3 linked regions of the Callithrix jacchus genome follow. The protein of the gene in region 2 interacts with the protein of the main gene of each other region in a pairwise test. Links are inferred from orthologs where the notes say so. Each region holds a gene or a part of one and is shown on either strand. Other genes may lie near its edges. The genes, in order: SKIL, NEFL and KIFC3.

Evidence for each region.
Region 1: the proteins of NEFL (region 2) and SKIL interact in binary tests that used the Homo sapiens proteins (3 or more experiments, as listed by UniProt). The link is inferred for Callithrix jacchus from reciprocal best matches to the Homo sapiens genes NEFL and SKIL.
Region 3: the proteins of NEFL (region 2) and KIFC3 interact in binary tests that used the Homo sapiens proteins (3 or more experiments, as listed by UniProt). The two-hybrid records come from large-scale screens. The link is inferred for Callithrix jacchus from reciprocal best matches to the Homo sapiens genes NEFL and KIFC3.

The regions. Positions count from the first base shown.
Region 1 is NC_133518.1:16,692,121-16,696,522, forward strand, and holds the start of SKIL (ski-like protein), read right to left. Parts: upstream 2,931-4,402; 5' UTR 2,838-2,930; intron 905-2,837; 5' UTR 238-904; coding exon 1-237. UniProt on the Homo sapiens protein: May have regulatory role in cell division or differentiation in response to extracellular signals.
Region 2 is NC_133514.1:16,533,923-16,537,196, reverse strand, and holds the end of NEFL (neurofilament light polypeptide), read right to left. Parts: coding exon 3,081-3,274; intron 2,534-3,080; coding exon 2,394-2,533; 3' UTR 548-2,393; downstream 1-547. UniProt on the Homo sapiens protein: Neurofilaments usually contain three intermediate filament proteins: NEFL, NEFM, and NEFH which are involved in the maintenance of neuronal caliber.
Region 3 is NC_133521.1:15,646,507-15,650,151, forward strand, and holds part of KIFC3 (kinesin-like protein KIFC3), read right to left. Parts: intron 2,665-3,645; coding exon 2,534-2,664; intron 2,076-2,533; coding exon 1,952-2,075; intron 1,711-1,951; coding exon 1,581-1,710; intron 1,497-1,580; coding exon 1,267-1,496; intron 931-1,266; coding exon 796-930; intron 341-795; coding exon 232-340; coding exon of another isoform or gene 116-231; exon of another isoform or gene 2-115; intron 1-1. UniProt on the Homo sapiens protein: Minus-end microtubule-dependent motor protein. Involved in apically targeted transport. Required for zonula adherens maintenance.

The sequences.
Region 1 (4,402 bases), on a different chromosome or scaffold from region 2:
AGTTTCAGGAACGGAAGCACAGGTTCGCTTGACATGTTCTCCATCAGTTTCCACTGTCATGTCTTCATAGTCATCCAAGTGTTCCTTCTTTACTGTTGGCACCTTGTTTATCATTTTTCCATTTGCATGAATGTCTGTCATCATTTTTTTCTCTGGGGGGCTGCCATCATCTCCCATCCCATTCAGTTTTTTAGTTGAACCCTGAACCAAGGAGAAATTTGTCTGGAGGTTTTCCATTGCTACACTACTCTGTTAAACAATTAAGTCTGAGATTTGCATTTCTATTTAATTACTTATTTGAAAAGGGGAAAGTAATGAATATACAAATACTTATGATAACTTACTTTCACAAAAACTTTCTAAAGAGAGATCCCCTTAAATTACTCAATACTTAGTTTTGGTTCTCCTTATAATCTGGCATAATTCCACTACAAAGCCTATGAAATTGTTCGTTTTGCCTCCAATAATAAAGAATAGAAGCACACCTCTGAGAATGCTTTGTTTTCTTGAATTCTTCAGAAATACGTATCAAAATAAAGTTACCAATTTCTCAATTCAAGATGTCCAGGATCAACGCAATGGTTTGGTTTCCTTTGTTATAAACAAACACATGAAAAGTTTCTGTCATTCCTTGGGCCATAAAATCTAGACTCAAACACAAGTCAAAATGATGCAACCCAATTTAATCTTTACCACTAAGGAAACCAAAAAGGAGGGCAGAGGGAGTATTTCCTCTAAAAACGATGGTCTGCTGGTGTCCGTGCTGAAAAACTGAAGACGTGTAAATCCTCACACCAGGAAAAACAGCCTCTGCCTTCTTGAACTTCTACAATCAACAATGATACTTAACAAAAAATTGCCCAATTATCTTCAAAGATTACAGTTCATTCTTCTTTTAATTAATCTGCAAGAGAAGGGGGTGGGGAATAGTTACATTTGAATTTGCTCCAGAGGCCAAAGAAAACCAGTTTCCTTTCTTTCCTTCTTAAGAGTCTCGCTCTGTTGCCCAGGCTGGAGTACAATGGCACAACCTCCGCTCACTGCAACCTCCGCCTCCCGGGTTCAAGCAATTCTCCTGTCTCAGCCTCCCGAGTAGCTAGGACTGCCGACGCACGCCACAACGCGCAGCTAATTTTTTTGTATTTTTAGTAGAGACAGGGTTTCATCATATTGGTCAGGCTGGTCTCGAACTCCTGGCCTCAAGCGATCCACCTGCCTCAGCCTCCCAAAGTGCTGGGATTACAGGCGTGAGCCACCGCACCAGGCCGAAACCAGTTTCTTAATATTAAACTGAGTTCACTTTACCAAAGGTGACGCTTGAGTGATTTCTTTAAATCTAACACCAGTTTATTAGAACATTCACTTAAATAGGAAAGCAATTTGGAGTTGGGTAAAGGGAGCAATAATGTAACACAAAAGGCCATTTGAGTTCAGAATATGAAGAATCTTAAACAGATCATCTCCATCAGTACCAGAGGCTTTTTCAGTTATGTATGCCATTTTAAGGGGGAAAAAATACATTACTTCATCTCCTATTTAAAAAAAAACAGTTTCATCCAAAAAAAATCAAATAGGAGTTAACATATATCTACCATATGTAACTAAGTTACAATTTTAAGTGGATTAATTCAGCTGGTCCGTGTATACCATTTTTCTGGAATGACTGTAGGCAAAAATTAACTGTCTCTTTTAAAAGGTTAGCGATTTTACTTAATGGAAGCCAAAAGCTTATAGACTCCATGCCTGGGAATCTCCATCCTTGAACAAGACTAATCCGGGACAAAAAGCACAAGGCAGACAAACCTCACAAAGAATGCAAATGGAGGAAGAGGGGGAAAAGAAAAGACTCTTCTTCCACTTCCTTCGTGAGAGAAACCCCAAAAGAAATCCAATAAATAGAAATTTTTGCTTCCCTAACTGTCAGCAATTTACCATAAAACAGACCCAAAGGAGTAAGGACCAATGCTACCAGCCATCGTACGGACTTTTGTCCACCACAGGAACACATCTCACTTAACACAGGCCAAGGAAGAGGGCAAGAGGCATGACCTAGAATGGGGGAGCCCCCAAAACCCTGAAGTCCTCCGCCCACTCAAAGCCACTCACCTATCTCTAACCCGAAGAGGAGGAAGAACAAGGGACACGGGAAGCCTGGGAGTGGGTGTGCAAGGGGGTGGAGGAAAGTAAAGGGAGGAGTCCCCCCACCCCCATCAGCGAGCCTGGGATAACCTCAAGTGCCCTCCCAACACTGCCCCCCCGCGGGAGCCGCGGGAAGGACTGTGGAAATCCCCCCCACTCGCACCCTCTCCCCGGGAACTTCTCGGGTGTCACCCCAGCGCCCCTAATGCTGCACCTCCCCCGCCCTGCCAGCTCCGGGCCAGAACGAAGAGGGCACCGGGGCAGTTCAGTCGCCGAGCGAACATCCCCGCGCCGCCGGGGGCTGACGGGCAGGGTCGAGCCCAAGGCATCCCCGTGGAGCGCTGCTGGACGGTGGGAGGGGGGTGGTGACGGGCGTCCGGGTCTCCCGGGTCTCCCGGGTCCCCGCGGCTCCCGTCAAGTGCAGCGCCCAGCCCTGCCTGCGCCCACCGCCTGGAGCCAACGAGGCGTAATCCCTCGTGGGACACGCGCCTTGCGACTCCCTCTGGCTCCGACCCCACCCGGGACCCGCGCATCCAAAGCCCCTACTCGGGCCTCGGCGACTGGGGAAGCTCGACGAGCTTTGTGAACTCCCCACCGCCCCTGTCGCCGCCGTCGGGCTCCCCGGAGGCTGAGCGCCTCTGGCCTCCAGCCGCCTCCGCCGCGTCCCCCCCCCGCGCACCCACGAGCCGGAGCCGCACCTGTGCCCGCCGCCGCCGTCGCCGCTCGCCCTCTCCCTTCGGCTGTGCCGGCGCCGCTCCGAACCCCACACACATCGCTACACACAGCCCTCTGACGTCACCAGCCCTCGGCCCGCCCACGTCACTGCGGAGACACACGGCTTCCCGCAGACGCCGCCGCCGTCTCCGGCCGCCCGGGGGAGAGCGAGGGCGGCGGGGAGGGGGAGGGGAAGGGAACAGAGCCAGCGGCGGTGCCGCGCGCGCGGGCTCGCCGGCGTCGCCGGGGCCGCCACTTCGCGGCTCCCAGATCTCTCGGAAACGCGCGCGCCGTCTGGCCTATTGTGGCTCCTCAGAGCGCCCCCGACCCCTGGCCAGGTCGTCCCGCGCGCGCGTCCCTCCCCCAGGCGCGCGCGCCCGGCGCTCCTGGCCCCGCGCGCCGTCTGGGCGGCTGGCGCGCGGCGCTGTCTGCGGTGCACCCAGCGCAGACAGGATGTTCCCTCCCCACTCCACCCTCACCGCCGCCCTCCCTCCTTCCTTCCTCTAGTCGCCCAGCCGGCTGTCTGGGGCCTCCGCCCCGGCCCCGCCCCACCCGCCGCTCTGTGGTGAAGGGCCAGACCCTGGGGCGCCCTGGACGCTCGGCCGCCGCGCGGCGGGGAAGAGGGGGCAGGGCAGCCGCGCCGTGCACTGTGCGCGACCCCAGCAGCCCGCAGGGCGGAGGCAGTGCCCGCCCGGCAGAGCGCCGCCGCCCGAGGTCAGGCACGGGCGACCCTCCCCCCGCGGGGCCGCAGCTGGGCCGCCCCGCCCCGGAGGCAGCCGGGCGGCGACCGCCCTGCAGGGCCCCCGGGGCCGGCTCCACTCCCCGCCCCCGCGGGACCTCCCTCCTGGGCTGCCCCTCGCCCCCGCGGGGCCTCAGGCCCGAGGGCCGCCCAGCCAGCTGCCAGAGCTCCGCCCCGTCCCGGCGGCCCCAGCCTCGCCAGGGCGGCCTCCACCCAGACGCCTTCCCCTGGCTGACCTCCATCCGCCATCGGGTCGGGCGGGAGGGGTGGCCAAAGTTCCGGCACAACCGTGAGCAAACATTTCTGTCTCTGCTCCCCAGGCTCCTGCCCCCAGCCCACCAGGCTGCTCTCTCGGTTCCAGAGGGGAGCTATAAATTACAGGTTTCTACAGTGTTTACTGAGGGTTTTTTTTTTTTTTTTTTTAAAGAAGGGCAAGACGAGGTGGGAAAGATAGGACTTAAGAGCTTTCCGGCAGCGACCCTCTGCGGCTTGTAGGGTGGTCTTCCTGGTTCCCAGGGTTGCCGGTTAGCATATTGAACTCTGCAGAGCTGCTCCGTCACATTTCGAAACACCAAGAAATCCCCTTTTCTCCACCCCACCACAAGATCTGGAACCGAAATAGTCCACCGAGTAGCAGTGCACAAAATTGAGGAGACTCGGGCTTTGTCCCCTTTTTTCCCCCATTTTCGTCCAATTTCTTCTGGGTTTTACTGCTTCAGGTCGTTCCTATGGGGGCCCACGTTTGGAGTCGCTGGCTGGAAATACTCTTGTGCTCGTAGATTTTTTTTTTTTTCCTTTTTTTACAACAGG
Region 2 (3,274 bases):
AAGATGAATACTACAGACAGAGGAATCACCAAAAATCCTGTGACAGATGGGAGAACAGAATACCAGGGTGGCTGGAGTACCTGAAGTGGAGGGAAAGGCTGTACAATGAAATAAGGTTAGAGAAGTAGATAGGGGTCAGCACTATGCAGGCCTTGAAGATCACATTTGAGATTTCGGTTTTCATACTAAAAGCAGGAAGCTATTAGAGGGTTTCATTCAGGGGGATGAGGGAGACCAAGAGGAGGCCCTGGGAGAAGGTTAGAGTGGTGGCGGTATAAATTGAAAGGATTGGAAGGATTTAAAATGTGGAGGCGTTATCACTATAACTTGGTGATAGGTTATTCTAGAGGGGCAGAGGAGAGGCAATGGGAGGTAGGCTGTCATTCAAGGTGTCTGTTTAATAGAATCAGATGATTAGGGAGAGGGGATCATTCACTAGGAGAGGAGATACTGAAAGAGAACCACAAATTTAGGGGGAGCAGAGGGAAAAGGGGCAATGACCACAGCACAAAATTTGGGGAAATGTTAAAAAAGACTTCAAATTCAATTTAGGTTTTCTGGTATTTTATTATGGCACACAGGGTAGAGAATGGTACAGTGTTCTTACTTCCACCAAGGAGTTCTCAGAGCATCCAGCGATTTTCATTTGGCTAAAGTTACTTTTTGCATGTAGCTTGCATCTGTTTGAGACTTGCCATGTACATCATCCCATGTCTACTAAGCATAAATGTGAAAAGCTTGGTTTCTGAGGAGTTGTCTCCCCTTCACAGGAGCCAATACATTGAGAGTTTTCATAATTCCAGTCCATACCATCATGGCAAAGAAACAGCTTACCTATTTCCATAGTGACATATATTTAACTAGATATAGTTGGTACAAAGGGATTAAGTAACTTTAAATGGAGACCACTTTGGTTTCAGTTTAAATCCATAACTTATAAAGATTGTCTAAAAAACAAATATTGAATGAAATTAGCTGACAAAGCAATTGTTTCAGAATAAAGGCAGAACAGCAGATAGTCAATAATATCTATATATTTATTCCACATCAAATGCAAGTGCAAGAGCGTTCATAACTTTTCGATAAACAGAGAGGACATATGAGGTGTGTATCTGATAATATGTCCAACCAGTCAAGCTATCAGTGAAATCCAAATATCTTCCAAGACACATGCAGAGCAATGTCAATGTAACATACAAGCATATTACCTCCCCCCTTAAGTGATTCATAATTTCATTACCTGTATCTGTAGTTTTTTAAGGTTTGAAATTGTGTGAGATTAAATGCTATTTACTTGAGGCAACAGAATTACGCTTAACAACACACTAAATCATGAGCTCAGAATTGCAGGCAATATGTTTGCAGTGGAGTGACAAATAACCTTTGATAGTCCCTTCTCCTGAAATTATATATAGATAAGTCATTCCTTCTGATGGTACCACGTTCTCAGGTTTTAACCTCTGCCCATGATATTTAGACTATATTTTAAAATACAGTTACAGGGATGAATATATGGGATTCATATTCTAACCATATTGCATTATGACATAACAGTTTGAAATGACCTATTTATTGTGGTTCCATGGTATAATGGCTAGCACTCTGGACTCTGAAATGACCTATTTACCATAACGAGTATATCTGTCAAATATTTTCAGAATCGCTCCCTAGAAAGCCATCCCAAAACCTAACACAGTATATGCTATGGGGCAAAGTCTATTGTTTTTATAGACATTCTCATTTACTCATGTTTATTATCAGTAACATTTTTGAGGGGAGAGATTTCATGAATAGTTATGACCTAACTGTATCCCTCGGAATTTCCAATGAGGGAACAAAAAGAAAAGTCTTGGTAATTGTTAAAACTTGGAGTTCTTATGGAGGTCAATAGTCCACTGGTATATACTTTACACCAGTGCCAACTTTAAGGTATTTTGATTAACAACCAGAGCAAAAAATACATCATTAGGTATAACTTTATTTACTATTTATTGCACATAACTCAAGGTCTTGAACTGCTAACCACCAAAGGTTCAAAGGACTATTTTTCCATGAAGTTTAACATTAACATTAGTGAATTCATTTACTCATGTGGTGTTTTTTATTGTAAACATCTGAATCATTCACATTGCCATAGTTCCTGAACTCATAAGCGTGGACCATGCACAGGCTGGCAGCAAGCCAGAAAGCCACTCTGCAAGCAAACAGATACTCTGCATAAAGAGGAAATTCAGAGCACAACATTGAATGTCCAACCTAAGTCATCTCAGAATTATACATATATTGACTTTTTAATTCACACAGGATCTGGAACTCAACTGGTTGGTCGGTTGGTGATGGGGTTGACCTGATTTCGGGAGAATTGTTCCTGACATAATTAAGGAAATGGGGGTTCAATCTTTCTTCTTAGTTGCTTGCTCCTCCCCAGCACCTTCAACTTTCTTCTCCTCCTCTTCAGCTTCTTTGGTTTCCTCTCCTTCTTCAACTTCACCTCCTTCTTCTTCCTTTGCTTCTTCAGACTCCTCCTTGGCAGCTTGAACATAAAAAGAAAGTGTACAAAATCCAAATCCAAGGTAAGGCCAGTCAAAACATGGCTGTTAAGGTTTTATCTGTGAATGCAGATGAAACCGTCAGAGTGCTCACCACAACCTCCCAGCTCCATTCTCTCCAAAAGCACATGTAACAAACAACGCTTGCCATGAATAATTTGCCACTGAACACATATTTAAATGGAATGAGACCACTTCTAGGCATGGAAAGCTCTGCTCCTCCCAAAGATTTAACCTCACTATTTTTTTTAGGTGTCTGGTATCTATTTTTATTCCTTAGGACACCGACCTGTTATGTTAAATGAATGTATTTAAAAATGAAATTTTTGACCAATTGACCAATGAGGTCCATTTTGACCTCATTCAGAGTAGGTGCTTAGAAAAGGTTTGTTGAACAAGCAGAAAAATTATTTATGCTTCTAAAATCATATATGAATAAATAAGCAAGGCTTCATTTGTCTTATCCACCACCTAACAAATATCCACACCCAGTTTGCACTTGAAGTTGCAGGGGTTTGTTTCTTATCATACCTTCTTCCTCTTCGGCTGCCTCCTCTTCCTCAGCCTCCTCCTTGTCCTTCTCCTCCTCCTCGGCTTCTCCTTCAGAGGGAGGCTCATCCTTGGCTTCCTCAGCCTTAGCAGCCTCAATGGTTTCCTCCACTTCGATCTGTTCCTCTTGGACATGGCTGGTGTAGTAGGACGGGAAGGAGCGGGCGGACATCAGA
Region 3 (3,645 bases), on a different chromosome or scaffold from region 2:
CTTACGCTGCCTCCTCCCAACAGACTTTGTTTCCCACCTGCAGAACGGACATAGCATGGTCCGCCCTGACTCCTCCCAGGGGGCACAGGAGGTTGCAAAACAGATTCTGGAAAAGTCATAGAACTTTTTTAAAAGGAAAGGAAAAAAAAAGCCCATCAGGTAAAGGCAGCCTGGTGACTATAATCCTGGGGGAGACTCCCCCTCCCACCCTGCTACTCCCTCCAGACTCACCCGAGGGCTGCAGCTTCCTCCGGATGGAGCCAGGGCGGCTACTGGTCCCGGAGCTGGGGGCTGAGTGGGCCCGTGCCGAGGGCTGTGGTATCTGACTAGCCGGCTCCCACTGTGGACAGGGAAGGGAGGGTAGGTGGGGGCCACAGCTGCCCTGGCCCGCACCCCGCTGTGCTGCTCTCTCCTCCCCTGCCCTGCCTCCTAACCTCCGAACACTCAGCTTCCTCATCTGCAAAATGGGCAGGATGCTCGTGCCCCAGCCTCATGTTATGTCAAGAATTAAATGAGATAGTACATGTAAAGAAGTCAACTAGTTACCACTTAGCACCTAGTGCCACGCCCATGGCCAGCTGGTCACCCCACAGGAGCCCTGGAGGCCAAGAATAAATACCTGCACTGAAGAGGCTTCTGGCTGTGGGTTCCAGCTGTAGCTCCACCCACCTCCGGCAGCTTCACCCCGCCCCACCCTGCTGCTCTGGGATGTTTCCGCCCAGCTCCCTGCTCCTGCCATGATCCAAAGTCTCTGACCCAGGGCTACCTGAGCCAGGTCTCTGGCAGTCCCCGTACCTCTAGATGCTCCTGGCTTGACCAGGACCCAAGCTCTGCCCTGCGTAGCCCGGGCCCCAGCTCCACAGAGCGCACCCGCTCAGCAAACTTGAGGGAATAGAGTGTCTCACTGGTGTTCTTCTCCACTGGGGACACCTAGAGGACACAAGAGCTCACTGCCCACCTGGGCCAGCTGGAGGGGCAGCAGGGTCACAAGGGAGCTCACAGCTGGAGACGTCAGAAGGCCTCCTGGAGAGGACCGAGGGACAGGGTAGGAGGGCAGGCAAGGTGGCAGAGGTGGCGTGGTCAAAGGTGGAGAGGAGGGACTGGGAGTTACACCAGGTGTGTGTGGCCAGGTCTGGGGCAGGGGGGCTGTTGCTGACTCTGGAGCTGCTGAGACAAGGGTCCTTCACAGCCTGGGGTGCCTGGGTCTTGCTGCTAGCTAAGTACCTACACGCCAGGGACTGCTCCCTTCTAACCCAAGGCCCTCACCTGTACCACCATGAGGGTCTTGCTGTCACCACTAAGCGAATCCTGCAGCAGGTAAGTGAGCTTGGAGTTGCGGAAGGGCACATGGCCCTGGCGGGAGCGCAGGGCAGCAATGACGTCCCCCAGAGCTGACAGTGACTTGTTGATGTGCTGCGCCTCCCGCAGACGGCTGCCTTCGGCTCCGGACTTGCCCACACGCTCGGACCCAGCCAAGTCCACTAGGTTCAACTTCCCTGCAGGGAAGGCACCAAGCAGATCAGACCTGCCCTGTCCCTGGGGGCATGGGGCTCCTCAGGCCAGGCTGCCCGCCCCCTCACCCGTGGTACGGAGGCCTGTGCTGCAGTCCACGCCTCGCACCGTCACGATGAGCAGCGCGTGCGAGCGGGAGCTGTGCTCATTCAGGTTGGTGAACTCCGTTGTGCGGTTGGTGTGGCCAAACTCAAACACCTGGGGGATGGGGAGTGGGAGGGTGAGGCACGGCGCTGAGAATGTGGTCCTCAGTCACCTGGCCCCGAGCACCCCAGAGGAGTGACACCCCCACCCCCGCAGTTTAGACGAGGAAACAGGCTCAGAGGGGCATGGGCACTTGCCCGAGGGTGCATGCTTAGGACACAGCAGAGCCTACATTCAAATCCAGGTCTTCCCTCTAGAGCAGCGTGGCTGTGGCCAGGGGCCCGCTCCTCCACACCTTGTTGATGTCGTCCACGCTCTGCACCTGGAACTCAGTCAGCCCTGGCACATACAGCTGCCCACTGCCGTCTGGGCACAGCCGGATCTCCAGTTTTTCCTGAGGCTCTTTCCCCAGCAGGTCCCTGGAGGGGCAGGTGAGACAGTCACCCCCTCCTCCCATTTCTGGCTGCTGCTTGTACTGCACCCAGAGCCCCAGTCAGGAGTGTTCCCCCAACCTACAAAGCCTTCTTCAGCCATCAGCTAAGCGCATATCCTCCAGCTCCTCCCCCATAACTCAGCTGAACATGTGGAGACCTCACTGTTGCCCAGAAGGCCTGTGGATGGCGCTACTCCTGCCTCCGAAATGCAATGAGCCCCTGCGGGCAGGGCCTGCAGCTGCCCACTCCCACCCATGGCCACCTGCTGCAGCCCACAGGGAGGAGAGTCACAACTTGCAGCTAGGTCCCTTGGCAGCCTCATCTGGTCCCTGCACTCCCTTCAGGAAGACCCCACTTCCTATCTCCCGTTACTCCAGCACCACCCCACCTGAGGACCCCAAAGCTGCCCCTGAGGCCTACTCCCCTCACACTGGGGCTCCTACCTGAGGACCTCGTTGTAGATCTCGGCGGCGCTGACAGTGATGGTGTACTCCCAGTCGGATGCCTTCTCCTGCACCTCGGAGAAGAGCAGCTGCAGGGCCCGCTGGTTGATACCTGGGTTCTCTGGGGTCCCCTGGGGGCAGAAGGAAAGGCCCCAGTGAGCCAGGCCTGTCCCCAAAGATGCTTGTGTGGCATCTGTCCCCCAAGCCCTTTGGCTATCCCTCACAGGCAAGTCTCCTTGCCCAAACCTCCTACCTACAAGCCAGTGCCCCCCAAAATGCCCTCTGCCAGCTGCAGGCTATTGTGCCTCTATTTCCCCGACATTAAAATGGCATCACCCTGCCAGGACTGCCCTGAGACTTAGGGTACAGCGCTGGGGTGAGGGACCTGGCCAGACCACACAGACAGCTGAGGGACAGGTGCATGCCTGGCCCTGCAGGGCCACCTAGAAGGGGCACTAGAAATGAATGATCCCGCCTCTGCCCAGAAAGGGGCTGAGTCTCAGGGAGGCTGTGACCTGGGTTCTGTGGGTGATGGAAAGGAGGCACAGGTGGAGCAGGACAGGGTCCTGGGGCAGGAGGGGTGGGCTGGCCTTTCTAGAAGGAAACCTGGAGTCCCCACCTGGGCCCTCAAGGCCCTGGGAGTTGGACCCTCGCCCCTCCTCCGACAGCACCTCCCACCCTCTCTCTATTCCTGCCGCAGGGGCCTCCTGGCCAAGCCTCAGGTGCGGCTGGTGTGCTCTGGCCTCTTGGCCTTGGCCCTGCAGCTCCCTCTGCCCCAGGTGCTCCTGTTTGCCCCTCGGCCAGCTCAGTCATCTCCCTCAGGGAGGCTGCTCCCAAGATGCCCCCTCAGGGAGGCTGTTCCTTCGTCCAGCACCCCCAAACACCCCGTCCCTTCCCCTTGTCAGTTCCACATCCCTGGTTTTATTTTTCTCCATGGCCTGACGGGACACTCACTGATTTGTGTGGACCCTGCTGTCTCCCCATAGCCAGGTTGGTCCTGTGGGGCCAGGGACTGTTTGGGTCACAGCCATGCCTGGCACAGTGCCTGGTACACTTCAGGCCTCAGCAGATATGCTTGAGGACAGAAGCTCTGATGTTCCCAGGGGTCACCT